Linked DNA regions of Arabidopsis thaliana. The protein of the gene in region 4 purifies or fractionates together with the protein of the main gene of each other region. This does not show direct contact. Each region holds a gene or a part of one and is shown on either strand. Other genes may lie near its edges. The genes, in order: LIN2, AT1G14810, hemf2 and CSY5.

Region 1 (7,356 bases), on a different chromosome or scaffold from region 4:
ACTCCTCATGAGTCTCACAAGCCTCAGACCAAGAAGACTCATCACAAGTTGATGATTTCTCATGACTCTCCGAGTCTGAGCCATGTTTATGCACAGAAGAGGGTCTCAACAAGTCGTACCTCTCGGCCAAGGAGCGATGTGAACGGTAGAATTCTTCCACCATAGCTATAAGCTCGGGCCTTTTCTTGTAATACATCTCAGCTCGTGCCGCAAAAGAATCAGCATCCTCATCAATCACTCTCAGCATTTCCTTTGTCTTTTCATCCAATTCTTCAATAACACAATCAAAGTTCACCATGTCAAAACCTCAATGAAGTTAAATAATTGTGTATCATTACTTAGTCTCAGAAAGATAAGATACCAAAAGAGAATCATCTACGACTATTATAACCCAATTACAACAAGTATCTTGATAACCAAAGACCTTTGAGAGGACCAAAGACCCATACACCAATATCAACACTTGGATTAAGACATTAAAAGAACCAAAATAAACGTGTCAAACCTTGATGAAACTAAATACCGATAAGATACCAAGAGAAGATACCAAGAGAAGAGCATCTTCTCCAACAACAACAAAGCTTTGTGACTAAAATTCATCAAGCAAAAACGCAATAGCTTACCTTTGAAATCAATAGACACACATATACCAAAATCAACACTTCGAATTCGAAAGAAGAATCAAATCATAAGTAAATATATAAAAATTCTTGGAACCCAAAAAGAGAAATTTTTACCAGAGAGAGTAGAATGAAGCCAAGGAGAGAAATTAGTAGTGTTGTGATTTCCAATCCACCACCATTTTGATGAGTCCATCACCATCTTTCACTCTTCTTAAAGCTTTCTCCACTCAAAAAACACAAAACAGCAAAATACAAATCAAAGACTCACTCTTTGAATTATTAGATTAGTTTCATCTTCAGTAACACAAAAAGCAGAGACTCCGAAAATTACCAACCTCGGTGCGTGGAAAACCAAGATAGACAATAAATAAACGGCGCCGTTTCTTCTTCTTCTTCTTCTTCTTCTTCTTCTCCGCCTTGAGAGCAATTTTAAGGAGTTTAGTATTCTTCTGTCTTCGGACTTGAGAGTTCAGAGTCTTTTATCATTGACATTAACTGTCTTAACCAATCGCATATTGCCACGTATGGTATTTAAGTAATACACAGCAGAGTTTGTAATTTACGGATATACCCCTGGAGGCTAAGCGGCGGATGACATGGCAGAACTTCACTGTTTATGTCCTTAAATGACGTTTCCACCCCTTAATATGAATTTTTGGACTGCCAGATTTGGTTCTTCAAACGAATTATTTATTACTTAAATAACTATTTTTTATAGAAAATTTCCTTAATCAAAGTCAAGTAAAATACTATTCAATGATTTCCTCTCTATATCAGAGTTGTTCTTTAATTTATTTAAATGTTTATAACCTTATAACAGTGTAGTCAAAGATTTATCATATATGGAGCTATGAACAGGGGTAGTTTGGGAGTTATGTTCAGATGATAGATATGAAAGTTATCTAAATGGGCCCCACGAGGCATGTGGGCCGGGGTGAGCGTAACACGCAAAAGGAGTTTGTGCAACGGTCGATAAAACTCTTTGCCGCAACTTTCCATGGCTTATTAGTGTGTAATGAATAAGACAAAAAACATTAAAGTAGTCGGGAAAAATAAAATATTAAAGTAAATATAAAAAATTGATGAACCTCATATTTAGTTCTTCATTTGGCTTTGTTTCATTATTAGCTCTTTTTACAATAAGACAAGTGAATCTATTTTTTTTCTTTTTAAGGATGTTATTGTCTTTGAATAATTTTAAATTTGTACCCTATTTATAGATTAAAGTATTGATTAACACTTACAGGCGTTAAGCACTATTTCTACATAAAAAAAATACACTGATTTGCATAGAATTCTGTACAAACAAACAAAAAATAGAAATTTATTGCTTTATTTGGGGATTATTAAATGATTCAGGGCGTAATAACGAGAGAGATGAAAAAAAAAGGAAATTATGACAGCTAACACTAAGAGGCTTGATGACAAAAAAAAAAAAAAAAAAAAATACTAAGAGGCCTAATGGCTTACATTAGGCTGGGCTGATCACTGTTTCTTCTCTTTGGAAAAGCTCAGATTTCAACACTTTGAGCAATAAGTTTTTGTTTTGGGTTCTTAAGGAGGATATGGATTTGGATTAGAGTCCGTAGATAAGCATGTCACTTGTGAAAAAGTTGAATGCACAAGTTGTCTTCGTTGCCATTGGCAAAAGAAAGAAACGAAACGACAGCGTAACAGACGCATGTTAACATGCACATCACAAGGCTAGAGTATAACTTTCTTTTCAGTAATCTAATCCTCTAAAGCTGCTCAAAACTTGCAAGAAACCAACTGTTTGCATTGGTAAGTTTTGACTTTTAACAACACTGCTCTTAGTTTGTCTTCATTGCCATCGCAAAGAGAGAAAGGAGATGATGTTAACATGCACATCACAAGACTAGATTTTGACCTGACCTTACACACTCTCTTTCTCCATCTCTCCAGTTATCTAATCCTCTAAAGCTGCTCAAAACTTACATGAAACAATGGAAATAAACTCACTCTTCTCACAACAATGGGAAACACAGGCTAGATCCACTCCTTCGGGTTGATGCAAGCATCCAATAGCTTCCACTCTTCGGTCCCCTCTTCCGGTTTCTGCACTCACAAACACCATTACTACATTGCCATATTCAATTGAATTTAGACCAAGTTTCTTCACAAATGAGGAAAGAACTTACATGGTCATATTCCCATCTTGCTGAAAGCGGAAGAGAGACGAGAATGCTCTCTATTCGTCCTCCTGTCTTCAGACCAAATGTCGTTCCCCGATCATATACCTTCCATCCATCATTACAAATACATTAGTGAACAAGGTTCATAACGAAAGATTGGAGAGATGAGAGTGAGAACAGAGAAAAAGACTAATGTTTTGGTCATAGTACCAAGTTGAATTCGACATATCGCCCTCGTCGCAACTGTTGCCATGCCTTGTGCTGCTCTGTAAATTCCATGTCTTTCCTTTTCTCTACTATAGGTATATAAGCCGGCACCACTGAGTTTGCGCATTCTGTAAACACCAATTGCTAAATTAGTCTACCAAGAAACTAGACCAATTAAAATAAATCGTTTGTTGTAGATTGAGGACAATCAGTCCCTTACCAGTGGCAAATGACAGAAGCATTTCCTGATCATAGTCATTAAGATCATCAAAAAATATCCCTCCAAGTCCTCGTCTCTCATCACGGTGCTGCAAGCAAAATCAAAGATTTCTAAGAAAAGTTTTCAAAGCCCTCACACTAACAATAGGCTTCTGAACGTCTCTCTAAGCAGTTTCTACCCTCTCAGATTTGACTATAACATCCCTAAACACAACTCAAAGAATAAGGCCCTCAGTTCCAGAAAATGCTTCAGGATCTCACAAAACTTACCTTGATGTAAAAGTAGTCATCACACCACTTCTTGAATCGGGGATAGAAGGAAGGGTCAAATTTGTCACAGGCTTGCTTTTGAATCTACAACAACAAAGAGCAGTTTATATAAAAGCAACTCCATGATCACAAAGCTCATATCTTTAGAACAAGGAATAAGGCTCAGTACCGAATGGAAATGCTTGACATCTTCTTCAAAGATGTAAGCAGGAGTGAAATCAGTGCCACCACCAAACCACCATTGCCTTGGAGCTCCAGGAACATCTGCGCCGTTGAAAATTAAAAACTTAAGACTGTTGTCCAAACAAAAGACAACAACTTTACAATCTCACTGAGACTTTAGCTTTTTTACCCTTTGGAGCATCTGTCTCGAAATAGCGATAATTGAAATGCAGGGTTGGGGCAAAAGGGTTCTTGGGATGCAAAACCTAGAATCACACAGAAATCCGTAATGATAAAACATGAGAACCTCCAAGAATCGTAAAATTGAAGGGAGAGATTCATTACCGAGCTGACTCCAGCAGCGAAGAACGGAACAGGACCAGGTTTCTGATCAGAAGCTGAGCCCTTTGCAGCTCTATAAGCTTCAGGAGGCATAACACCATAAACCACAGAGACATTAACACCAGCTTTCTCAAAGACATTCCCGTCCTGCAACACACGACTGATTCCACCGCCACCACCAGGTCGAGACCAAACATCTTCTTTAAACTTAGGACCGCCTTCTATAGCTTCAATTGCATCACAAACACTGTCTTGAGCAGCCCTAATCATAGTCTCGAAACGAGCCCTGACGGAAGAAGAAGAAGAAGATGGAGTGACGTCATCAGAATCCCTAAGGAAAGTAAAGGGTCGTTCAGTTTCGGGAACTTCTTTCTCAATTGAGACTGAACATCGCAAGGCGAGATTAGGTTTATTTCTGATTGGACGGGAGAATCTGAGAGTAGAGGGATTGGGAGAATAATGAAGACGATGAGAGGAGAAAGGAGCGAAAGTAGGAGAAGAGAGGAGAGTCGACGAGTGAGAAGCCATGTTTGATCCGAATTTGGATTTGATGCTGAAGAAGAAGATGATGATGGAGAGATATTAAATGATAAGAAGTCTTCGTCGTCCACTGATTTTGACCGCTCTTCCTTTTTATTTAACAGCTCAAGGTAAAAGAAAACACAGTTCCAGTCTTCTCAGACTAAACCACTTCTGAATTATTTAGCCGAAACCAAACCAGACACGAAATTAAAATTGCGGTTTAATTTGGTCGAACCGAAGATATTGATACACAATAGGCTCTTATCCTTCTTAACGGGCTTAATTGCCCAAATTAGGCCCAAAACGATTAGCCGGTTTACGGCACTATGCTATTTTGATGTGGATAAATCATGGTCATGTAATATATCTTTATCTATCGTTAGAATCTGTGATAAACAAAACAAAAGTGTATTATAGATTCGAATCCTATCTAATTATTATTTCAAATAACCAAATAGATGTAATTACAACCGTCTTATTCTTTCCAAAAAATAGTTAATCGCTGACAAAAGAAAATCCGGTTGGGCCCATCACGTTGTCTATATATTCATGATCATATAGAGAGTTCAGCCGCTTGACCTGCGAGGAATTCAAGAAAACCCTGCTTCACAGAGCAGTATTACACAAGAGACGAAAGAGCACTTTTAACCTTAGCAATTATATAGGTACCTTAGCTAGTTCTTCTTCGAATCTATACGATCGATATGAAGATTCTTCCGGTTGGATCACGGTTTTGTCCGACGGATCTAGGGTTGGTGAGGCTTTATCTTCGAAACAAGGTGGAGAGAAATCAGAGCAGTTTCATAACAACTATGGACATCCACCAAGACTACCCTTGGCTTCTTCCTCACGTAAACAATCCTTTGTTCAATAACAACGAGTGGTACTACTTTGTTCCGCTTACTGAACGAGGTGGCAAGATATTAAGCGTACACCGGAAGGTAGCCGCAAGAGGAGGAAGCGAAGGCGGCACTTGGAGAAGCAACGATGGGAAAAAAGAGATCAAGGACGGACACATGCAAAAGGGTGATGGGTTACGAGCAGTCTTTCACGTACCACAGGAGAGTGCATGGAAAGCTTGTCAAGACCGATTGACAGAAGATGGAGTATTCTCTTCACTAGAGTGATGACCTCCAAAAGGTTGTCTTGTGTCGGATCCGATACAAGAAAGAGGCGAACGTCAACGAGTTTGGACTCGTTAACCATCAGGCTCATCAGACTCAGGTGGCGGAGAACACCAACAACATCTTACGGAACCAAGTAGTGTAAGAAGAGGATGCTTTAACCGGTTTTGCTGATCAGCTTGAGATGATGCTAGAGGGACAAGAAGACCGTGAGCAGAAAGAAGAGGCTGATTTAACCGGTTTTGCTGATAGCCTTGAGACGATGCTAGAGGGACAAGAAGATCATGAGCAGCCAGAAGATGCTGATTTAACCGGTTTTGCTGATAGCCTTGAGACGATGCTAGAGGGACATGAAGATCGTGAGCAGCCAGAAGAGGCTGAATTAACCGGTTTTGCTAATGATGACCTTGAGACGATGATGCTAGATGGAGAATAATCTCGCGAAGTTACTCAACAACAACAACAACAACAACAACAACAACAACGTCAAGAAGATTGTGACGTTACTCAAGAGCAAGAAAAAGATGATGTGATGGTACTGATAAACAATCCTAATGATGCCCTCGCATTGGGGAATTATGAGATTATTGATCTAACTAGGGTTGATAAATGATACGACACAAACCAGAGAGGATAGAATTATATTTTAGTGGGTTGAGTTGATATGTGACAAAGATTACTATAGACATATGGTTAGTGTATTTGTGTAACTCCGGTAAAGGAGATATCATAAAAATAGTGGATTTTCCGGGGTAAAATTCTAGTTTAACGAACTTTATTTTAGTTTGTACTTTTGTTTTTCCATAACTCTACAATTAATATAGAGTTGCAGCAGTAATGTTAACTATTTAGCTATGAATTTCAATTGTGTACTTAAAAGTAATGTTTTTGGTTTTCAAAGATTATAAAATTCGAAAATACTAATTGTGATTTGTGAGTTCCATTGATAAATAAGCAAACATAAAGGACCAACAAATGTTTTGAAAACCAAAAAAAATGGTGGTTGTGGAGGTTGGGGCACATGAGAGCGTTTTTTTGACCAAAGTACGTAACAGAATCAACTTCTTCACTTGCCCGGTGGTTTCATTTTCCTTTTATAAAAAGACAAATATGAACTCATTTCCTCAAAACTTAATCACACCATGGCGGCTCAACTTCAACCTTATAACATCATCGAGACCTGTCACATCTCTCCCCCAAAGGGCACCGTTGCATCCACCACTCTTCCTCTCACCTTCTTCGATGCCCCCTGGCTCTCTCTCCCACTCGCCGATTCTCTCTTCTTCTTCTCTTACCAAAACTCAACTGAATCTTTCCTCCAAGACTTTGTACCCAACCTCAAACATTCCCTCTCCATCACTCTCCAACATTTCTTCCCTTACGCCGGTAAACTGATTATCCCGCCTCGTCCCGACCCTCCATATTTACACTACAACGCTGGCGAAGACTCTCTTGTTTTCACCGTAGCAGAGTCTACTGAAACCGACTTCGACCAACTGAAGTCTGATTCCCCTAAAGATATCAGTGTGTTGCATGGCGTCTTGCCCAAGTTACCTCCTCCTCACGTCTCTCCGGAAGGAATTCAGATGCGACCAATAATGGCAATGCAAGTCACCATCTTCCCTGGAGCTGGAATCTGTATAGGCAACTCAGCTACACATGTTGTAGCAGATGGAGTCACCTTCAGTCATTTCATGAAGTATTGGATGTCATTGACCAAATCCAGCGGCAAAG
Region 2 (7,450 bases), on a different chromosome or scaffold from region 4:
GTCCTTTTTTCCTTGAGATGCCTCTCTATTTATAGAAAAACTAAGCTGGTGATAGGATCATGGACCAACTTTTATGGGCTTTTTGGGCTTGATGTTGATTAGTTTATTCTTGATTTGGGCCGAGCTAAAATGAGGGGTGCAATCCATCCCCCAACATGCCCCATGGAGCTTTCCGTATTTTTCTTCCCCAGAAGCTCAAACATCAACAGTTATTCACTAAAAGGTACTTAAATACATGGCTTAATTCCTACAAAATTCTACTACTTGCAATTAAATTCATACTTTTAATATCTCAAATCGAAATTGTAACTGGAGAAAAGCAAAAACCTCCTATAGATCTTCCTTTAAATTACTATAAAATCATCATCTCCTATACTAGGTGCATCAGCAAACGATGAACGCGTGCTCAAAACCCTTAATCTTGCTCCGTTGGTGAAGAAACCGTTATCATGCCGCAAACACCATCTTATTATGAAGAAATGTCTTGCCAACAACAACCCGGATGCTCACTACATAAAAGGTATAATATGGTACTTTAACCTTGATCATTGTGACGTTGGTCTCCACCATATTGGCATAGCAGCTAACGGAGGCCAGAAAGAAGCAATCTACATGTATGTCATGCTATTATTATGTAGAGGAAGGACTGAAGAGGGAAAAACCTATATGAGCCAACTTGAATGGGCTAAAGACACCACCATGGCTGAAACGTGTTGGAAACAAATCAAAACTTCACTAAATGGGATTAGAGTGGCGAGAAAAAGATGCTACATGATATCACTTCGCAACATGAAACCCCCCGACGTGTGCCATCCAAGAAATTTGGACAACACATGTGAGAAATGTTTTTTCTACAAACAAATGTTTAAGTTTATTTTTATGGTATAACTTAAACAAAACAACTAGAGAGTTGGAAACTGTTTTTAAAAAATTCCCTATAATGTTTGTGGCAGTGAACTATCACAAAGACTCAAAACAAAGTAAAAGTTATTACTCTTATTTCTTTTGCTTTAATGTGTGTCATTCCTTGCTGTTATAAGGAAATTTATATTTACAATAAAATCAAACTTTTAATTAATTATCTAAGCATATCGTACTTTCAATGTTAATATTGTTATAATCCAACTCTTTTTGGCTAATTCGCGAAGAGACGTTGAAAAGTGAAATCTTCCCCAAACCAAAGAGTAGTTTCTAAGATTTTAACAGAGACACAAAGAGAAAAAACAAATGGGCGGGTTCATATTGGGCCAAAATTAACAATGGCAACGATGTGTAAAATAACTTCGTCGTTAGTCTCTGTTCTTCGCTATCCTCTGCAGCAACCGCTTAATGCGAGAGAGAGAGAGATTTCCATTGTATTTTTAATTTAAAATAAAATATATAAAAACAAGACCAATGTAACAAATGCATTGCTTAGATATATATAACTCTAAAAAATATTCTTACAAGATAGTAAGTTTGGTCTATTATCCTATAAATTCTAGCATATAACCGGTAACAACATGAAAAAAAAATGTAAAACTATACATAGATTACAAAAATGTAGAAATCAAAAGATAAGATTAGCAAATAACAAAGATATTCCCTTTTTAATCAAAGATCAGTAAAAAAAATCGAAGTGGTTAGTGCATACTAACAAAACCAAAAACAAAACCAAAAACAACGCGGGTCTCCTCCCTAGTCTTAGTAACGAAGGAGTGATTTTAGGATTTGATAATATCCACTAAACAAGTAAATATTTGCTATAACTATCAATAAAGTGGGCCCCCACTGGTTCAGTCTTCAGTGTGTCAAATAATTGTGGAGCCCGGTTGTCTTCGGTGAGATCAACCAAGTCGGTACAGATTCGAACCGGAAAATTGCCAAGAGGTTCAAGCGTGTGCATGATGAGTTCAGATTTAAGAGACAACTTTATGAATCAAAGTAACAAAATTGGTCAAAATAGAAAACTCACAGAACAAAAAATGAGACAAATTCTTGGCTCAAATCTAATAATACAGTGATCTCTTTGTCAAGAATTTCATAAGAAGCAAAGTGAGAGCGGGTTCAAATTCAGAGAAGCATCTCAGCGATCTGAACAGCATTCAGAGCAGCTCCTTTGCGTATTTGGTCTCCACAAACGAATATGTCCAGCCTGAATTCACAAAGTTATATCCTTTTAGGCATATCGCAAAGACATTTGCTTCAAATTCAGTAGAAAAGAGTGAGACTTTACCCGAAATTGCCATCTTGAGACACGTCTCGCCTTATCCTACCAACCGCTACATCGTCTTTGTTAGAGACATCGAGTGGAGTAGGGAAAGTATTTGAAGCACGGTCATCTATTATATAAACTCCAGGTGCTTTCTTCAGTATCTCCCTTGCTGTGTTCTGTTATGATACAGTAAGAAAAACCGTTATAACCTGAATAAGAACTTGATCATAAGATTCTTTTAATTGCGCAACAAGAATCACAATACATGCTACCAGAGCAAGTCCAAAGAACAACTTCAGGGTTTAACTCTGCAAGTGCATCAAGAACTATCCAAGCCTACTTATGCTGATTACATGCTGCTCCACATTTTTCAATGGCTTGAGTTAAATTAAAACCATAGAATGTGGTTTAAAACTTCAAATTATGATTCAAATTGTCATATCAGTGAGTGAAATCATAAGGTAACACAACAACACAGAATCAGTAGAAATCGGGTTCGACGTGTGTTATTACCTCATCAAGAGGATTCTCAAACTGAAGATTCACACTCTCTGCATGAGCACGCATAACTGGAACACGTATACACGTTGCTGTTACTTTTACTTCTGTGTCATTCTGTGAAGGGCAAGAAATTGGTGTGAGATATCTAAAATTTTTGAACAAAAGATCAAAGTGAAATGAACACAAAATAGCACTTAAGTAACCACTCACCCAGATCTTCCTTGTCTCCTTCACAAGTTTCATTTCCTCTTCGTTGTAACCGTTGTCAAGAATAGGAGCATTATGTGAAAACAAGTTAAATGCATACTGCAGAACAACATACAAAACCATCACATTACTCAAAAAGGGATTTCATAATCAGCACATTCGAAATACAAACTATAAGCAAATTAAGCACTCACCTGCTGCCCGAAGATGTTACAAGTCGGAGGTTTACCCTCTAAAACCTAAGAAAACACACCAATGCAAAGAAGACGAAGAAGCAGAATCACAACTCAGCACAATCATTAAACAATTCAATCAAAGAAGGCTGAAATAGAAACAAAACCTCACGAGTCTGCTGAACAAGCTCTTCCATAGCTGCAGCACCAGCACCACTAGCTGCTTGATATGTACTAACCACCATTCTCTTCACCTATTATAGCCAATCAAACATTATTCAGAGCACTAAAGTCTAAAGCTTCCATTGATTCTCTAACTACCCTTCAAAATTTTGGACTAAGCAGATTTCAGAATAAAAATCGAACCTTTGCGTGATGATGAAGAGGCGTAACAGCCATCAAACAGATAATGGTGGAGCAATTAGGGTTTGCAATCAAAGCCCCTTTGCCCATTCCAACTTTGATCCCTTTCATTGCTTCTGGATTCACTTCAGGAATCACAAGCGGAACTCCATCAACCATTCTAAAAGCCGAGCTATTATCAACAACAATGGTTCCTTTCTCCGCCGCCAGAGGACCAAACTCTTTGCTTATGGATCCACCAGCACTGAACAAAGCTATGTCTACACCGTTGAAGCTATCCGCCGTGAGCTCCTCCACCGTGTATTCATGGCCATCGAAGGCAACACGCTTCCCTGCGGAGCGTTTCGATGCAAGCATCTTGATGGAGCTATAAGGGAAGTCTCGATCGGATAAGACGGAGAGGAATTCTTGTCCGACGGCTCCGGTAACGCCAACGACGGCGAGTGAAGGCGCAGATTCTTGGAGAGACATTTTGACTCTTGCGGAGAAGTGTCTAGGTTTAGCTCTGAGAGGAAGGCGAGAGAGGAAATGGGTTTGTGGGGTTTGATGAGTGAACGTCGCCATTGTCGCCGCCGTGAGGAAGAAGAAGTGAGAGACAGAGAGATAGAGAGATTTTGGAGGCGGCTGATAGAAAAAAGCTTGGGACTTTAAAGTGTGTTAGTGAATTGACCAACATCTTCAAAATTCAAAACAGCAAGATTGTTTAATTTAAGATACAGAAACAGCATGATGTTTGAAACTGCTCATTCACCAGATTGAGTATATTCACACAACTTTCTCATGTGTTTCATCATTTCTTCTTTTGGAAATATTAAGTTGTTGAAAAGTCTTTTGTCATATAACAAGGCTTAGGGATCATATTTAAGAGCTCGTGATTCTGGTTTTTAGCTCAAAGACATCTATAGCTAACTTTGGAATCTTACACGTACAACAAGAGGACATTAAGTTTCTAGAAGTTAGTCTGGTCTGTTGATCAATCCTGCTTTACAGCTTACTTATGATGTGAATAAGAAAAGATAAGCAAGAGCGAGCACTCAGTCACCAGATTGAATATATTCGCATTACTTTCTCATGTTTTCATTGCTTCTTTTGGAAATTTAGAGATGTACCACTAGTTATGTTCTGACCATTACAAATATTCAGGTTAATGCTTCCAAAAATAAAGAGCTAAACATTATTGTTTGTTAGAGTTACTGGAGCAGCCTGAGGAAGAAGAACATCTTGGATTGCTGTGAGCTTAGCTCGGCCACCGTACTCTTCCGGTAAAGCATCTGCTCCGATCTCCTCCTCGAATTTTCTCTGTTCTTCTCCATCCGTAACTATCACAATCTATGCAACAGCAAAATCATAATTTATGTGATTCGTTGCTCAAGAACCATTAGAGATAGATACATCAAGAGGAGATTAAAGATCAAACCTTTTCCTGAGTTGCTTTCTCTAGAAAACGGCAGACGAATTTCCAAACGGTCACGAAGAATCCGGGCATATGCAAAATGTAGCATTTTGCAAGGCGTTCCGGGTAGTAAGACTAGAGAAACATTTTCCAAATTTAATAGACAGGACTTCTTTTTGTGTGATAACTATATTGTTTCAGGAAGAAGGGAGATGCTTACTTGTAAGAATTGAAAGCCAGTGATCAATCCACGAGCATCAAGGTTCTTGTATGTAATGTTTGCCAGATCAATAACGGCTACTAATTTCTCACCTCCAACTTCTTTGCCATTGTTGCCACTGAAACATAAAAACCAAAAAGCTTGTCTCACAACCAACTAACCGGAAGATTATTGAAGTGTTTTGGTTTCAATAATGTGTAAACACCTTGCGATTGTTTTGTCTAGCGCATAAACAACAAACTCTGCAACATCAAACAGATAAAAGATTAGTTCATAGATAATTATCGCAAGAATCAACTCAAGGAAAACACATAGATGGACTCAAAAAACTTCATTCATTTGAAGTCAAATGAAACTACTCAATAATTAGAGAACCAGGAAAGAAGCTGATCAGTTCTATGAATACAAAAGTCACTGAAAGTCAAGGGACAGATTATTTCCAACGAAAGTAAAGGTCAGAAGCAAGTGAGAGGTGATTACTCTTGAAGTTAGCTGGATCCTTAGAAGCAAAATGCTTAGAGGTTATGACAAGCACCAATGGGTGTCCGGATTTGGTCGGACCCTGAAGACAGACCTTTCTGAATTCCAATTCATCCTGCACTTCTGACTCAGGGATGAATCCAGTTGGAGGAACCATGGAGGCTCTCCATTTTTGCCAATCTACAAACATCTTTGCTGCCTTGACTGGGTCCATTGATCTTGCCACCAGGAACCTCATCAATGTTGGTTTGTCATATCCCTTTTCAGAGGAAACAACAACAACAAAAACCATTGATGAGATTTTCTGATTATGGATTCACTTTTACTAAACTGTCTCTACTGTTAGGGTTTCTGATGGGAGGCTCAAACCTAATCAGACAAACCACTATGACGAGAATGGAGACAGAGTTTTAACAGTGTAGCCCATATAAAACCCATCAAAATCAAATGACAGATATTTCTCATTTTCTAACGAGACATTGTCAGTGAAACTCATGAAACGGCCAAAAGATGCAAGCTTTGTAAACTGTAATGAAACTAAAGCGTCGAATTAGATTACCTCAGTAGAAGAAGAGAGTTTCTCGACCGATTTTCTCAACTGGGTCAAGGCAAGTTCTTGGCTTTCCTCCATGATCTTTGGCTCTCTCAGATCCTAAAAAAATCTCACAGAGAAATAAAGAGAGAGCCTTTTGTGGTCCGTACAGACGCACGATAAAGTAAGTTGAAAAAGTAAAGAGCTTTGATGTTGACAAAGACCCAGAAGCCACAGGAAGAAGAAACAGACAAAGTATTGGGTACTTGTCTCTACGGTAAGTGGATAGAAATAACTCAATAAGCCTTTCCCCAACTCGCTGCAATTAATGGGCAGCTGGAAGTTGAAGCTCTCTCTTTGACTTTTGTTTCTACTACTTTGACGATTTAAAACAGCTGTGATGATTACATTGCTTTTTAACTCCTAAATCCCGAATCTTAAGGCTTACTTAAAGTTCTTTTAATCATTTTTCTGATCAACCATGTGAAACAGGCTTTGTTAACGGTTATACATTTAGCTGCTTGTTCTTAATTGAGCATTGGAAATTCAGTTCTAACGATTTTTATTGTTTGTGACAGAAGAAAAGTCCTTTAGGTTAATAAGTTGTTCTATCTACATGAGATGTACATTAAATTTTCAAGAAAGATTAGCTTCTTTGTCATCTATTTGTTTTTAAACTTGAACTGGATCCAAATACAGTAATGGCACAAGTGGAGACCAATTGAATAAAAATCAAAGATTAGCTTCCTTTTTGTCTAATGTAAAGAGTGCGACTTCAAAATATGTCTTAACTGTTCTAAAAACCAGTATTCAAGAATCGAAGATACACACCAAAAAAAAGTGGGAAAGTTGTGATAGAAATTAGCGACCCAAGAAAACATGAGTAGTCGCGTGTATGTTTGTGTAGACTGGAAGTTAGAACTCCAAACATATCTATTATAATGCAGTGTGCCCACACGAACAAAGAAATTAACAATATAAAGAATATGTCTTAGCAAACCCCCTTACTTCCAAGCCACTGCATCGATGTCGTCTCTAGCTTGTTTGTAAAGCTCTAGCCGTTTAGCTAAGGTTCCTCTTCGTTCCATCAGCTGTGGGTCTTCGTCCAACATAGCACCCAGCTTCTCCTTCTGCACCATCATTTTTCTTAAATTTATTCTCGATTTGGGCATGGCATTTTCTACAAGGTAACAAAATAATCCAAAGGGTAATAATATAGTTTACCTCTTTCCTGCCAACTTGAGCGTAGAAGAAGTTGAGAAGCGATCTCTTAGCTTCTCTAACTTGGCAGTAAACGACAGCTTTGGGAAGAGAGTTTCTCAATGTGTCGCAGACCATGTTTATGTATGCACTCACGTTGGATCCTGAATTATCCAAAGTCAACAAA
Region 3 (6,860 bases), on a different chromosome or scaffold from region 4:
TATTTCTCTGAATGCTTAGTTTCAGAAATATCTTTTCTTTTTGGCTCAATCATGTTGTGGGTCATATTAATAGCTTCTTTTACTTTGTTGGCGAATATTTGTGTCTTCGGTAACTCTAGTAAGAGATGCAAAACCTTAGAAACCATAGTAGACTTGTGTAGAATTTGTTCTAGCTGGATCAGTGTCTACTAGAGAAAGTAGCCTTGACTATATTCATGGACTTACGATTCTTTTTACTGGCACTTTTAGGTTTATATGTCGTTCGTCCAGGCTCTGTATGGTGGAGGAGGGTGGCCACTGTCGGTATTCCTTTCACCTGATTTAAAGCCGTTGATGGGTGGAACCTACTTTCCTCCAAATGACAATTATGGACGACCAGGATTCAAAACTCTCCTTAAGTAAGTAAACCCTTTTTCTCTTATTGTACAAAAGCATTCTAGGCTTGTAATGGTGCAATAAAAAATAGAGTATGTATGTAGAAACAAACGCTCTTGGCGAAGACTATAGTTGATTCGTTTATGTTCTCCATGTTTTCTTTGGGTTTGGTTCAGGAAGGTGAAAGATGCGTGGAACAGTAAGAGGGATACTCTAGTGAAGAGTGGTACATATGCTATCGAAGAACTCTCTAAAGCTTTATCTGCAAGTACTGGAGCCGATAAATTGTCAGATGGGATTTCTCGGGAGGCTGTGAGTACATGTGCAAAACAAGTATGATTCGACTCGCGGACTCTAGAAAAATATATATGATTGATACATCAACATGAAAAGGTCTTCTAACAGTGAGTGTTTGTGTTAAAGCTTTCTCGGAGCTATGATTCGGAATTCGGTGGGTTTGGATCTGCACCAAAGTTCCCGAGGCCTGTCGAGATCCAGCTGATGCTTTATCATTACAAAAAGTTGAAGGAATCGGGGAAAACTAGTGAGGCTGATGAAGAGAAAAGTATGGTTTTATTCAGCTTGCAAGGCATGGCAAATGGAGGGATGCATGATCACATTGGAGGCGGGTTTCATAGATACAGTGTCGATGAATGTTGGCATGGTAAAACTTCAAACAGTATCCTGTAGTATCAAGGTGATGAAAAATATTTTGAGATTGACGCATTTTTTGCTATTTGTCTGGTGCAGTTCCACATTTTGAGAAAATGCTGTATGATCAAGGGCAACTAGCTAATGTGTACCTCGACGGTTTTAGCATTACCAAGGACGTTATGTATTCTTATGTGGCAAGAGACATCCTTGATTATCTTAGAAGAGACATGATTGCACCTGAAGGTGGAATATTCTCAGCTGAAGATGCCGATAGCTTTGAGTTCGAGGGGGCAAAGAGAAAGAAAGAAGGAGCTTTCTATATATGGACAAGCGATGAGGTTCTTTTCTCTGATATATGATATATTCATGAGCTGACTCTGGTTTCCCTCTGCATACTGACATTTGTTTTGCGTGTGTGTTTGGTTTCAAGATTGATGAAGTCCTCGGGGAGAATGCTGATCTTTTCAAGGAGCATTATTATGTTAAGAAATCAGGTAACTGCGATCTTTCGAGCAGGAGTGACCCGCACAATGAATTTGCTGGGAAGAACGTGCTGATCGAAAGAAATGAGACGTCTGCTATGGCATCAAAGTTTAGCCTCTCTGTTGAGAAGTATCAGGAGATATTAGGTGAATGCCGAAGAAAGCTTTTCGATGTCAGATTGAAGCGACCTAAGCCGCATCTAGATGATAAGGTAATACTCTTCTTGGAATTCTCATGTTGTCTTCTCTACTGTTTCTTCAGATTTGTTAACCATTTAAGATTTCTTTCATAGATAATCGTGTCTTGGAACGGTCTTGTTATCTCGTCTTTCGCAAGAGCTTCCAAGATTCTTAAGGCTGAGCCTGAAAGCACCAAATATTATTTCCCTGTGGTGAATAGTCAGGTAATGAATGCTACACCCTTTCCTTTAATTTCTTCTTTGACCGTTTTGTAATTAGAAGACTCATTTTTCAGCCAGAGGATTACATAGAGGTTGCAGAGAAAGCAGCTTTGTTTATCAGAGGAAATCTCTATGATGAGCAGTCTCGCAGATTACAACACAGTTACAGACAGGGGCCATCCAAAGCTCCTGCCTTCTTAGACGATTATGCTTTCTTGATCTCTGGTTTACTCGATCTTTACGAGAATGGAGGTGGGATCGAATGGCTTAAGTGGGCGATTAAACTTCAAGAAACACAGGCAAGTGAGATCTTTACTAGCTCGATTTGTTAAAGTTCTTGATTTTGGCTAAAAAAGTTAAAAACATTTTAGGATGAGTTATATCTGGACCGAGAAGGAGGAGCATACTTCAATACTGAAGGACAAGACCCATCGGTTCTTCTTCGTGTAAAAGAAGATCATGATGGTGCAGAACCTTCAGGGAACTCTGTTTCTGCTATCAATCTTGTGAGGTTAGCTTCCATAGTCGCCGGAGAAAAAGCTGAATCCTACCTCAACACGGCACATCGTCTCCTGGTAAACAAACAAACAACTAATCCCATTTGCTATTCATAGAAAGAGATTATTGAGTCTCTTTGTTGTTGTTTTTGCAGGCAGTCTTTGAGTTGAGGTTAAGAGAACTGGCGGTGGCTGTGCCATTAATGTGCTGCTCCGCAGATATGATCTCTGTTCCGTCGAGGAAACAAGTTGTATTGGTTGGTTCTAAGTCTTCCCCAGAGCTTACCAACATGCTTTCTGCAGCACATTCAGTCTATGATCCTAATAAAACGGTAAGAGCTTAAAAAATTATCCAAATTTCTAGATTCAAGATTTGTGACTTTTGGTGGTTTTACTGAGCAGGTGATTCACATAGATCCCTCTAGTTCTGATGAAATCGAGTTTTGGGAAGAGCATAACAGTAATGTAGCTGAGATGGCTAAGAAGAACAGAAACTCAGAGAAAGTGGTGGCTCTTGTTTGTCAACACTTCACTTGCAGTCCTCCTGTCTTTGACTCTTCTTCTCTCACTCGCTTGCTTTCCAAGTAAACAAAGATCATTCCATGTTTAATAGTTGCTTGTACTGTAAGGAACAGATCAACGTTGTTCTCTCTGTTACAGTCTTACAGAGTAGATAAATAAAGAAGAGAACTAAACCGAGTATGAGGTTTTTTGGTTGAACTAAACCGGAAATAACCGGGTTTGGTTTGGTTAAAAAAACAGAGCTTTGACGATTCCTTATCATCTTCTATCTTCAGCAAAAAGGTGAAAACTTGGATTCGATCGATCGCTGAAAATGGCGTCTCACTCTTCGACTCTCTTCACTTCTCCTTCTTCCTTCATTCTCTTCTCTTCTCATCGTCTCAAATCTTCTCCGAATTACTTCACTTACCACTTTCCTCGTTCCGTAAAGAGACCACATTTCGACTTGCGATGCTCAGTCTCAATCGAGAAAGAAGTTCCGGAAACAGAAAGACCTTTCACTTTCCTCAGAGTCTCCGACGGCGATCAAACTCAATCTTCTTCTTATTCGGTTAGGGCTCGTTTCGAGAAAATGATAAGAACTGCTCAAGATAAAGTCTGTGAAGCCATTGAAGCAGTCGAAGAAGGTCCTAAATTCAAGGAAGATGTTTGGTCTCGACCCGGTGGAGGTGGTGGAATCAGTCGTATTTTGCAAGACGGAAATGTATGGGAGAAAGCTGGAGTTAATGTCTCTGTGATTTATGGTGTTATGCCTCCTGAAGCTTATAGAGCTGCTAAAGCTGCCACGTCTGAGCAAAAACCTGGTCCGATTCCGTTCTTTGCCGCTGGAACCAGCTCGGTGAGTTCTCTCTCTCTCTCTCTATCAGTCGACATTGCTGTTGATATGGTCTCTGAGTTCTTTGATTGAGCTTGATCCTACATTCTAGGTTTTGCATCCTCAGAACCCTTTTGCTCCGACTCTGCATTTCAATTACCGCTATTTCGAGACCGATGCTCCAAAGGGTAAGACCTTAATCCTCTTTGAGAAGTGTAAAGTTCCAATTTTTTGGTTGGATGAAGCATTTGATTTCATCACTTGTAGATGTTCCTGGAGCTCCGAGGCAATGGTGGTTCGGTGGTGGGACTGACTTCACACCTGCTTACATCTTTGAAGAAGACGTCAAGCACTTTCATTCGGTCGTTAAACCTGATCCATTGTTCTGAAAGTTTGAAGCTTTGTGATTATGGAGATGCTGATTGAAATATCTTTCTTTGTGTAGGTTTAAAAGCAAGCCTGCGATAAATTTGATCCGTCGTTCTACCCTTGGTTTAAGAAATGGTGTGATGACTACTTTTACATTAAGGTCTGCAGTTCCTTTAACGCTATTCTGATTGTTTGGTGAGATCTTAGCACTTTGTGGAACTAAAAGACCTTAGTTTTAGAGTCATGTATGTGCAAGAATAGATTTAGAGCCTCAAGGTTTTGTTTAGGTTGATACAGTGATAAGTTGTCGCCTAGGATTTGAAAACACTAAAAACTTTACGGTCTTGCCTGCAGCACCGTGATGAGAGGCGAGGGCTTGGAGGGATATTTTTTGATGATTTGAATGACTATGATCAAGAGATGCTTCTGTCATTCGCCACTGGTAGTGACCAAGATATAACTTGTGACATTTTGTTTTAAGAAACTTCCTAGTTGACTTATTTGAATACTGAGATGAATTTTGCAGAATGTGCAAGCTCAGTGATACCAGCTTCTATACCCATAGTAGAGAAACGTAAAGACACACCATTTAACGAGCAACACAAGGCATGGCAACAGCTGCGAAGGGGCAGATATGTTGAATTCAACTTCGTAATTGGATACTACTAGCTTTGTTTTTCTTTCTGTATAAATATCTCTTGAAACCTCGTCTCATGTTTTGTTGCTGATGGTAAAAATAAAGGTGTATGACCGCGGAACAACATTTGGTCTGAAGACTGGAGGACGAATAGAGAGTATCCTTGTCTCTCTTCCGCTATCTGCGAGATGAGAATATGACCATGTAAAGTTTCTTGATTCAAGAAACTAAATCTTGTTTCATCTTAGCTAATGAAACTTAACTACTGATGGTGTTTGTCTCTTGTTGCGGATGCAGAAACCTGAAGAAGGAACTGAGGAATGGAAACTATTAGATGCTTGTATCAATCCAAAAGAGTGGCTTTAGTTAATTAATTGTGGTTATTTCCCCAATTAGCTCTTTTATTAGTTTTGTCTTTAAAAGCCTTAAAAGAGTAAAGAGTCTAATGAAAAGTGAGTGAGATAAAGAAATTGTAATTTGGCGTCATCTCATCATGAGTCACTGACAAACAAAGATCATGATGGTTGATGATGGAGTATATAGTACCAATCGTGATGATGATGATAAAAGTAATTAACTTTTAATTTTTTTTACTGACACAGTAAAAATAAGAGCCGTTGGCTCAAATAGCCGAGCCTCTCGGTGCACGCACGCATGCCACTTGCTCGGTAACTGTTCACTAGACAGAACACAACAACACTCAAATAGAGTGATAACATTGAATCTGATGATTTGGTTTAGTATAAAAATCGTTTCCAAGTTTCAACGAGTGGGACTTGTGTTAGGTTAAACAATTTCGGATTAAGTAAACGTCACTGTCTCATTTGTCTTGATACAAGAAACGCCCGTGATATTTTTTCTTCGATGTCGTCCAATGGGGACAAAGAAACAATTTAGTCCCCGGATATACACACACACACACAAATAATACATGGGTGTTGTTATTATGGCTTACCTTACACAACACAACTTGCCAATGTTTTTAAATTTACTAAAAACCAAAGCCAGAAGATATTTTATTGCCACAAATTGACGTCACACCTGCCCATATCTAATCCATGTCTGCAACACAAAAAACAAAAAATTGAATTCCCCCAAAAAGTGAGGAGAGAGATGTAAAGACTGTGTACCAATTCAATATCTTTTTGAGCAGAGTAAAAAAAAAAGTTTAAAAATTTGAGCTTCTGACACAAAAGGAGCCAAATGTAATAGCTGGATCCAATCCAATGCAATGAAAACATCTTAGCTGTAAAATGGTCCAATCTCTCTCTTTTCTTTCTACATTATTACTTCCACAGAATCAATTTATCTCTCGAAAAGCAATAAAGTCTCTATATTTGTGCTCAAAGATAGACAGAGAAGCATAAATACTTGTCCTCTGTGTAGTACAAAAGTGGAGCCCCACTGAGTGATGCCCTCACAGTAACGGCTACATTTTTCTTTTATCTCTCTGTCTCTCTCTTCTTTTGAGTGATTTTTTATGAAGATGGGTTCTTTTGTCCACTTATTACTGTCCTGAATCACACGTCGAATCCTACGTGGCATCTCTCTCCATTGTATGCCAGCTCACTCTCACTCACTCACTCACCTCCCGCCTTTATAAAGCCTTACCTCTCTCTCTTGTCTCCTTCATTGAGTCAAGTGCTCGAGACTGTAGAGTGAAGTTTGATTTATTTAGAGAGATAAGTTAAAAAAAAAATGGTCGGTATGGATTTGTTCAAATGTGTAATGATGATAATGGTGTTGGTTGTCTCTTGTGGTGAAGCTGTTTCTGGAGCTAAGTTCGATGAGCTTTATCGGTCAAGCTGGGCTATGGATCATTGTGTCAACGAAGGCGAAGTCACAAAACTCAAGCTTGACAATTACTCTGGTAAGTAGATGAAGACAAACCCATCTCTGTTTAGTTTCCTCTGTTTTTGGTGCCATCTCTGTTTTGTTTCCTCTGTTTTTGTGGGTTCATTATAATTGAATATGTTTTTATTGAATTTTTCAGGAGCTGGGTTTGAATCAAGAAGCAAATACTTGTTTGGTAAAGTCTCTATCCAGATTAAGCTTGTTGAGGGTGATTCAGCAGGAACAGTCACTGCTTTCTACGTACGGAACAAAACC
Region 4 (8,859 bases):
TTTTTCTTATCACCTTGTTTCGTATTATGAAGCCTTTAAATATATGAAATGAAACTATATGTTATAAGAAAGAAAAAAATATTTAGGGTCTCGTTAGCTATATATATATATCTCCACTTCATATGGAAATGATATAGACCTACGTATAAGATTTTCACCTTTGCTTTACCCATTTTGTGTTTATATATATAGTAACGGGTCGGGTAGGTTCGGGTCAAACCAACCTCGCTTTGTGTGCAACAACCGTCTACGGAGAGGAGGAAGGAAGGCAGATCTATTTACAGGAATGACCCTCATGGGTTACTAGAAATAGAATGTTCCTTTTATATCGATGTTGGTTAATGTGAGTAACTTGGGCATGGAATTTATCCACTTCAAAAAGACATGGGCTTTAATTCGTTGTAAATGGGCCTCTAATGGAGATTGGACCCAGATTTGTCACTTATTTAAATGATAAATAAATAATTACGAAAAGGTGTGACTAAAATATTTGCATTTATTAGTACACACGAATGTTTGTGTGATACAGAGTTACAAGACACGTCTTGATGGGTTTTGATGACACAATTTTAAACTTTTTAAGTTAAACCCATCATTAAATAAATCAATACTTTAATTCACACTCACACGCAAAGATAAAGAAAGGGGATTAATTTTGGTAAACTTTAGAAGAATAAGAAACTCGTGACCAACCCTTGCATGACGAGACGGGTCAAGCCAGAAAACGCGAAAGGATTGACTAATATTTGAACCAATAATCTTGTATAGTTGTCTGGCTTTAGTAAGGAGGTGCCTAATCTATGTCAAGACTCTCTGTCACTTGACTTGGGTAGTTGGGTTCGAGCCCAGGAAACCGTAAGCCTCAAGGAAGTCAAGTTCCTTTTTCCGACATGGTTTTGGTTTTCCGAGGATGCCGTACGGCTTAAGCAAGTCAAGTCCATCACATACTTGAGTTGGAATTGTATGTTTCTCTTGCACCACTGGACTGGCCATGACAAGGAAGACTAGGATATGTTCTAATAATATATTTCCTGTCCTAGCTAGAAACCTCTGCTCTCGGTTTCTAATAATTCTCGGTAACAGGATCCAGCGACTCCTCTGAAAGTTAGAGAAAACTTGTGAGGAAGAAGACTCAAAATCAATTTCGCATTTCTGGCTTTTTGTGATTACGAAGAGTCTTATACTTAGCCAAATATCTGAAGGTTTAGAAGAGAACACGTTGCATCTTACTGTTCACTGAAGATAGCAAATGTGTTTTGTAGAATCATCATAAAGCTTCGTAGGGAGCTTCTTAAGATAGGAGGAAGCTTCTGTTTGATCCCGAGGCTTTGAATTTCTTGACTCTGCTTCTGTTCACTTCAAACACTCTGTTTGAGCGGGACTGGTTGCATGAGTATTGTTTATTATGCGATAATTCACCAAAGACTAATCAATACATATCAATGGTCATCATTTGTCTATCAAAGTTGAGGAACAATAATATGGTGTCTCAATCTGAGAAAGACTGTTTCTTTACTTGTTTGACTTTATTGTTTTTGCAGAAGAACCAAAATGAAAACTCTGTAGAACAAAATTTCGACGAAAAATCGTTTTTTTTTTATCTCTAAAAGCTACCCAATCAAATGGAAGAGAAGGCTGAAGTGATAAAAGAGAGAACCTTGACCAACATCAGTCAGGGATTAACTTAGCGGTTCAAGCGCGTGAAGTTATCGAGCCAGTCCATGTTTACACTCTTTGGTCTCTCAAGTGGCAGTCCAAGTGCCCTGTCCCATATCAGCTGAAACAGAAAAGGAATAAAAGATTAGTCTGACTTTATTGTGAAGGATATGGCGATACGTACTAAAATCGAATTGTCGATGGCATGAATGTATGTATGTACCTGCGAGCAGATTCCAAGACTTCTTGAGACGCCAAAAAGCACCGTGTAGTATCTATATTTGAAAGGAATGTCACTCTATAATAACCAAGATTCAGCAAAACAAGGTCAAAGCCTCGATACACAAGTAGTTCCTACCTTGCTTCGGTTAGACCATAGTAGTTCAGAAGCACTCCGCTATGAGCATCAACGTTAGGCCACGGGTTCTTGACCTGATACAGCAATTTCAAGATTCATAAAACCAGAGAAAATCAGAAAATCTGGTAGCACATGAAATGAATGAGTATAAGTAGTACCTTTCCCAGCTCGGTTAGAATAGGAGGCACCACTTCATAAAGTTTTGAGACCTATAGACTTGCATAATTTGTGAGCCAGTAAAATTTTAAAGCATGACCAAAGATTTGAGGGGGAAAAAAAGTTACCAGCTGAAAAAGAGGATCATCAGGTAGATGCTTCAAGGCAAACTCTCTTTGGCATATATATCTTGGATCCGTTTTACGCAAAACACCATGGCCATATCCTGGAACAACCTGCAAGACAAATGTTTATTTAAGTTTCCTGACAACATTCACAGGCAAACCCCATAATCAAAACATAATCCGAAGCTTTTATTCATTATTTATACAATAATTCAAGTTATGGCCTGTCATGATTAGCATGCAATACATATGGATAGTTTCAAAAGGCAAAGCAGAGCATAATTTTGTCAACCTTGCCACTGTTTAACGTTTTCCAGACATAATCTTTTAGCTGTTCCTTTGATATACTTTCTCCACATTCCTCAACAACTAATTTGATCCACAGCAAAACTTCCTACAACAAGACAACGAAAAAAAACAGAGTAAGATTCCAAGTTTAAGCTTATAATTAAGAGTCAATCTTAGAGTTCAAGTTATATACACTTGTAGATTCGAACAATATAAGACTCATTAAGGATATAAATACCTGATTAGCCAAACCATGGAGTGGCCCAGCTAAACCATTCAATGCAGCAGCAAATGAAAGATATGGATCTGAAAGTGCACTCCCAACCTAAGTGAAGAAACATCATTAGCCAAAAACAGAACCATCAGAAATGTCTATAAGTTCAAAACATTATCATGCATCAAGATCATGTGGCAAATACATACCAGGTGACCAGCGTGAGCACTAACATTTCCACCTTCATGATCACTAAAACAGAAACCAGTAGACAAGGGAAAAAAAAACCTTGATCATGCTATAGAAATTTGGTAAGAGTTGGTAAAATAAAGGAAGATCATCATTATATACAAGAAAACTTTAGCTTATGTATTCTAATTAATGAGACATGTTGAAACGAAGAGAACCAGGACTAACCTGTGGATAGTGACATAAAGCCTCATGAGCTCTTTCATCTGAGGACTATCAAATCCCAGCATGTGTGAAAAATTTGCACCATAATCCAAAGAATCATCTAATGGAATGATGCTACCATCCTTGTACATCCTGCAATGTGAATTAGAATGGACATTGAAAAATAACACTCTGAAGAAAGGAAAATCTAAGAAAATTAACTAGTCCAGGAAGCTAAAAGCATTGGAAAAGATCCTAAAATTTAACCTCCGATAAACGTATGAAGCTACAACAGGAACACGAGCAATCAAGTTTAGGGCATCTTCGAAGGTTGGTTCCCAGTACCTGACAAGAAACCTCAGTTTCTATGATGCCTACTACTATAAGCCAATCAAGAAACAAAGTATAGAACTATTGAAAGTTTATACTTTGACTTAGAAATATCACCCTGCTCATACGCCTTTTGAAACTCACTTTGAACCTGAATAACAATCAACAAGATAAGATGCTCCTGAAAATAAACAAATTCTAAGAGAATGCATAGAAAAAAAAAATAGTACATAACAGAGCAATCCACCTGAAGGGCCATAACACCACTAGCAAATTGAGTCATTGGATGAGCTGTTGAAGGCAAAGCATCTATAGCTTTGTATATATAATCTGCAATGGAGAGTTGTTATATTTGCAACATCATAATATCCAGTTTATAATTATCATCAGCTTGTATTTTGCTAAGTTTTGATGAGTCATGAAACTGAGGTCATAAACAAACAGAGCCTAGAGGTGAACTACAAACCTGGCACAGCCGCACGATGAGCCAACTCTGTTGACAAAGCATTAGCTTGCTCTTTAGTTGGCACCTATACCGAAAGGAGGGAAAACTATACTTTAGATCATTCATATATAAAGTTGAAACTTATTGTATGTATAAAATGTTTTAAGATTATCACACCTTTCCAGTTAATAGAAGCCACAGAAGACTCTCAGGCAAGGGCTCTTCTCCAGACTCAGCTGAAGGTAATATTTTCTGACATTCAGGAATCGACATGCCTCTAAACCGTATTCCCTGATACAAAAGATAATATCATATGTTATATAATTCTAATTCAAGATCTGACCTGAAAATTATCTATGTGATCAAAATTATAACCATACCTCATCTGCATCAAGCAATGAGGTTTCCCAGAGTAATCCAGTCATCCCTCTCATTCCACCAAGTACCTTCACAAATACCACATGTAAAACTATATATACGAGTATGTTTAAAAGATAAAGCCTTTGTGTAATCACAAATATCATTAGAATCCGTACCATATCAACGGTGATGTTCCCCACTGGAACCTTTCCTTGTTCTGATTTCAGTTTCTTCAAACGGTCCTGAAAGTTGAAAGTTGTGTTTGTGTATGAGAAATGACATCAACTAAAACAGAGAGAAGAGCTTGATCTCTACATGAAATCTGCCCTAAAATTAGAAACAATCTCAATCACAACGAAGTAGAAACTAAACCTGTTGTTCTGGAATGATCTCTTGCATCTGCGACTTCAAGTCCTGCATTACCATCATTTTAAGCAACATCAACACAAAACCTAGAAGGTAAAATTCCAAATTTTTGGTTCTCAAACTGAACCGCATGATCACGAGAACATGAAAACCTAAGAAAGTACCAATTCAGAAGAGTGGAGCCATCTGACGGAGTTACTAAGTGAGGATTGTTGCACCTGTGCTTCTTATATTAGATCTGATCATCAAATTGTATCACATCAAACAAAACACAAAAAGGATGAAAGCTAAATCTACTCACTGCTCGAGACCGTAGTCTTGAAATGGCTGATACGCTGCGAAAAAACACCATTCTTTCAAACCTCACAACACTGATCGGTTACGAATCCAAACAATCAAGATTGGCTTAACCAGATAAGAGATAAAGGGAAAGAGAAAGCGTGGAGAAGAACTAACGGGAAATTCGAAAGTTTCTTCAACGTAGAGAGAAAAATTGAGAGATGTTGAGATATATCTGCAACGTGATGAACAAGCGTCAAATTACAACATATGTAAACCAAACACACGGATTCTTCTTACCAAACCGGTATAATGAACCAATTGATTACCATTTAGAAAACCAAACGAACAGGTTATGTTCGGGTTCGGTTGAGATTGGTTAGTTCCGTCGGTCCGTGAGACGCAAGATTCGAAGCAGCCGTAACGATTCTAATGCCTAAAAAAACGGTCATTAATAAATAAAGAACAAATGGTATGTAGCTTTTGCTGTTGCTAAATAAAAAAGTAGCTTCTTGGTAAAGTCCAAGGGTTTAGATAAAACATAATTTTATTTTGTTGGAAATAAATAAAGTAAAAATGACATTTCACAATTGAAAAAAAAAGTTATAAACTTCGTTATTATAATTTCTTGGTCGAATGGGCGGTTTGATATTCTTCATTCTCCATTAGTTATCAGAAATTTTTATATTCTTTTGAAATACTATTTAATGATGTAACACAACTATTAACAATGATGGATATAGCTATAGCTAGTTAATATTAAAACATTGGATATCATATTATATGACACTATTGATCGTTATGTCATCCAAAAAATAAACTGATATTTCAATGAATGAGATTGGAAAAATATGACATATATCCATTACAACTCATTATAATCATATTACCATATCATTTTAATGTTTATGAAATGTGAGTCCACCTTTCATAATCTAACGTTTTGAGAAGTTAAAATGTAATTTAGCCATAAAGTTTTGAAGGTATATATCAAGAACATCGCCAATAAAACAGAACTTTATTCATTTATATATTCAAATCGAAACTCTTTTAGAGTCATGTAAGAATCATTTATCATTATAGTATTTCGTTAATTCAGTTTAATGGAATTCATTTTTGTTTTATCAAACAATTTGTTGTAAGTAACATGACTTATATATGAATTAACAAACAAAATAATTTGACGAAAAAAAATGAACAATCTAAAAAATTCAATCACAATATCATTCTCGCTTTTCTATATATAAAACTTGCACACGCACGCGTGAGTACAACGTTACACCATTTTTAAGTAGAGTTTTCACATGATCGGAGATCAAAACACAAACTTACTTTTTCTTGGCAAAATCAGTCTACAAACTCATCACTACACTCTTTCTTGGTAAATTAAGTCAGTCTAACAAATTAAATCAAAGGGCACCCAAGCCCAAAAAATCCAAACATTTGTACATATATACAAGTTATGTATGTTCCTACCTATATAGATGATCATCGTCTCAACCTTGGTCTTGTCTTGACCCATGTCTTGTTATGCTCCATATCGAATAAATGATCAAATCATCATCAAAACCAACAGGACTTACGATTAGTAGAAACCCTACATATTAGGGTAAGGTGTGACCAAACTAATTATTGTTGTTGAAGATCAAACCATCGACTTGAGAATATGTTGTCGTCTTCATCAAGATCGATCAAACCGTCAAAATCAAAGTAAGTATTTGTGTTTGAACTTGATCCCCATTCTTCCTTCACCACGTGGCTCCCTATTATTCTGTTGTCCAGTTCAGCCGTATGTTCTTGGCCGGAATCTTGAGGCAAACCCGGTGGCGCAGGAAAATTTGTGTTGGTTATCTTTTTCTTAGAACCGGTTTTGGTGATCTCCGGTTTCCCGGTTAGACTTTGGACGAGTGTGCGGAAGTTCTTGACATCGGTGTTGATGATCTCGGGAGCAAATATATGGATGATACGGATCTTAGGCTTGATCTTGGTTATTATTTGGGAGTTCTTGTTCATGGGAACCAAAGTTTTTGAATAATCACCATAAAAGGTTTGATGAGGAAGATGATCTATATCGTACTCAGCCTTCATAGAATTTCTCACCATATAAACGTAAAAAGAAGATGAAGAAGCGAAGATTTTGGGTTTTTCTTTTTTGGATTTCAGGTTTCTTGTATTGTTTTGGGAAATGATATGCATATGTTGTGGATTATATGTCTCTATATATATACACAAAAAAAACAAAATGTGAATATACAGTTTTATTGTTGGTTTGTAAAAAAACATTAATAAAATACTATTTCTTAAAGACAAACAAAATGAAAATAGTTAAAAATATAAGACGAAATAGCTATGGACCTGCCTTCCATTACACACTTTTCAACAACTTGAGTTAAATAAATTGTAATTTAAACAAAAAGAATGATCTGTTTCTTTTACGCTATCGGAATAAAATGGTTTTTAATTTTCCAACTGATGATATATCATATAATCAATTAGCTATATAATTAAGTAAAAACATACATATGAGTAGATGGCGTGAGCGATGTTTTATTTAATATATGTGGTTGACTATATAATATAGGTCGTCGACTTAACCTTTGGAGGTGAATTTGACTTTGTTTTATTTACGAATTTGTTAAAATGTCCTTTACCAAAATAATAATAATAATAATTTGTTACATGGCTTATGGAGATAGGGTTTCTTGGAGTTGTACATATATTTTAAAACAATCTTTCACTACATATGTGAAATTCGTCTTAGTAATTTTCACGGAGCATATGTGAAATGTAATTATTTATTGTCTATGGTAAACATCGTTAATAGTAAAAAAATTACATTTGTTTCGGAATTAAGAGATTAGATAAACCGACAAAAAGAAAAACAAATTCCGTGTGCCCTATACTAATAACTTAATAAACACGACAGATACTCGTCGGACGTGATATGTGACTCATCTGTACACGTGCAAAGCTTTTTGTTTTGATGTTTTGATTCCTTGGATCAAAAATCCAAAATTGTTTGACCCAAAAAAAAAGATTAATTAATTATCCAAAAAAAAAGCGGCCACTAATCATATGGAGAGGTCACTAGGTCAGACAATTTCGTTTATCCAAACTAGTAAAATAAGTATAATTAGTTACATCAATCGATTTTTTTTTGTTCACTACTTGAATGTTGCATCAACTGATTTAAAGGTCAAAGTTATCTATTTAATTTAAATAGATCATAGTTTGACATTAGCGTGTTTCGGTTATATAAAATTTCAAGAATTTGACATTTGTAGTTAACAATAGCTGTATGATATTTTTGTAAGAACAAATCGTATTGTTTTGGTCATTATTTAATGTTGATACGCGGGATTGTTGACTTACTCTCCTTAAAACTAGTGAAACAAATCTCCCTATACTAACTACCATGTGTTGAATTATACAACCGTTGATCCAACTTTCTTTGGATGCTTTGAGTTTCTACTCGATCAATTTGTTTTTCACATCATGATAAACTAACTTGTTTTACGTCAAATCCTTTATTTTCAGTTTGTTGTTGTCTAACAGGGAGATGTTTTTCGTATTATTTATCTAATGTAACTATTAATTGTTGCTAACCAAAATATCATTTGATCCTAAACCTAAACTAAAAGGGCAGAAAATTGCTTAGAATCACTAGTGTCTCAATCATTGCATAATTCATACAATTAGATGTTTTAGAGTGCATTGGTAGAAGGATTTCACCAAAACCACTGGCTCCTACCATCCTATTTTTTAGGTGATGGTGTTTTGATTCAAGCAGGTCTGGTTAGAAGACATCATCAAGGGTGAAGAGTTTTGTTAATGACAACTATATAGTAGAGCTATTATTATTATTAATTTGTAGTACTAGTTTAAAACC

The links.
Region 1: the proteins of CSY5 (region 4) and LIN2 fractionate together in Arabidopsis thaliana (co-fractionation; one large-scale study listed by BioGRID). This does not show direct contact.
Region 2: the proteins of CSY5 (region 4) and AT1G14810 fractionate together in Arabidopsis thaliana (co-fractionation; one large-scale study listed by BioGRID). This does not show direct contact.
Region 3: the proteins of CSY5 (region 4) and hemf2 fractionate together in Arabidopsis thaliana (co-fractionation; one large-scale study listed by BioGRID). This does not show direct contact.

Annotation. Positions count from the first base shown.
Region 1 is NC_003070.9:866,672-874,027, forward strand, and holds LIN2 (Coproporphyrinogen III oxidase), read right to left. Parts: upstream 4,638-7,356; 5' UTR 4,505-4,637; coding exon 3,980-4,504; intron 3,901-3,979; coding exon 3,825-3,900; intron 3,737-3,824; coding exon 3,642-3,736; intron 3,557-3,641; coding exon 3,473-3,556; intron 3,292-3,472; coding exon 3,204-3,291; intron 3,112-3,203; coding exon 2,987-3,111; intron 2,882-2,986; coding exon 2,783-2,881; intron 2,700-2,782; coding exon 2,631-2,699; 3' UTR 2,182-2,630; downstream 1-2,181. Other genes in the region: NET3A (Kinase interacting (KIP1-like) family protein), read right to left, coding at 1-270, 738-822; NAC006 (NAC domain containing protein 6), read left to right, coding at 5,203-5,541, 5,621-5,722, 5,774-6,011, 6,069-6,235; AT1G03495 (HXXXD-type acyl-transferase family protein), read left to right, coding at 6,765-7,356. UniProt on the Arabidopsis thaliana protein: Key enzyme in heme biosynthesis. Catalyzes the oxidative decarboxylation of propionic acid side chains of rings A and B of coproporphyrinogen III.
Region 2 is NC_003070.9:5,100,632-5,108,081, forward strand, and holds AT1G14810 (semialdehyde dehydrogenase family protein), read right to left. Parts: upstream 4,220-7,450; 5' UTR 4,003-4,219; coding exon 3,442-4,002; intron 3,330-3,441; coding exon 3,243-3,329; intron 3,142-3,242; coding exon 3,097-3,141; intron 3,002-3,096; coding exon 2,906-3,001; intron 2,810-2,905; coding exon 2,708-2,809; intron 2,673-2,707; exon of another isoform or gene 2,551-2,672; coding exon of another isoform or gene 2,521-2,550; exon of another isoform or gene 2,371-2,520; coding exon 2,216-2,370; intron 2,135-2,215; coding exon 2,053-2,134; 3' UTR 1,928-2,052; coding exon of another isoform or gene 1,807-1,927; 3' UTR 1,793-1,806; downstream 1-1,792. Other genes in the region: AT1G14800 (Nucleic acid-binding, OB-fold-like protein), read left to right, coding at 103-223, 389-614, 1,807-1,927; AT1G14820 (Sec14p-like phosphatidylinositol transfer family protein), read right to left, coding at 4,606-4,767, 4,856-4,966, 5,052-5,169, 5,257-5,293, 5,532-5,790, 6,091-6,162; DL1C (DYNAMIN-like 1C), read right to left, coding at 7,068-7,193, 7,288-7,427.
Region 3 is NC_003075.7:1,409,570-1,416,429, forward strand, and holds hemf2 (Coproporphyrinogen III oxidase), read left to right. Parts: upstream 1-3,215; 5' UTR 3,216-3,244; coding exon 3,245-3,769; intron 3,770-3,857; coding exon 3,858-3,933; intron 3,934-4,012; coding exon 4,013-4,134; 3' UTR 4,135-4,190; coding exon of another isoform or gene 4,191-4,196; 3' UTR 4,197-4,955; intron 4,956-5,048; 3' UTR 5,049-5,213; downstream 5,214-6,860. Other genes in the region: AT4G03200 (catalytics), read left to right, coding at 250-398, 552-708, 799-1,039, 1,126-1,367, 1,460-1,723, 1,805-1,915, 1,987-2,211, 2,284-2,487 and 2 more; XTH9 (xyloglucan endotransglucosylase/hydrolase 9), read left to right, coding at 6,450-6,621, 6,745-6,845. UniProt on the Arabidopsis thaliana protein: Key enzyme in heme biosynthesis. Catalyzes the oxidative decarboxylation of propionic acid side chains of rings A and B of coproporphyrinogen III.
Region 4 is NC_003074.8:22,189,072-22,197,930, reverse strand, and holds CSY5 (citrate synthase 5), read right to left. Parts: upstream 5,202-8,859; 5' UTR 5,044-5,201; coding exon 4,993-5,043; intron 4,910-4,992; coding exon 4,856-4,909; intron 4,740-4,855; coding exon 4,698-4,739; intron 4,568-4,697; coding exon 4,502-4,567; intron 4,412-4,501; coding exon 4,346-4,411; intron 4,257-4,345; coding exon 4,143-4,256; intron 4,051-4,142; coding exon 3,987-4,050; intron 3,851-3,986; coding exon 3,768-3,850; intron 3,672-3,767; coding exon 3,619-3,671; intron 3,536-3,618; coding exon 3,458-3,535; intron 3,344-3,457; coding exon 3,215-3,343; intron 3,050-3,214; coding exon 3,007-3,049; intron 2,909-3,006; coding exon 2,822-2,908; intron 2,690-2,821; coding exon 2,588-2,689; intron 2,407-2,587; coding exon 2,299-2,406; intron 2,224-2,298; coding exon 2,173-2,223; intron 2,089-2,172; coding exon 2,015-2,088; intron 1,932-2,014; coding exon 1,880-1,931; intron 1,778-1,879; coding exon 1,685-1,777; 3' UTR 1,484-1,684; and 1 more. Other genes in the region: AT3G60090 (VQ motif-containing protein), read right to left, coding at 6,600-7,073.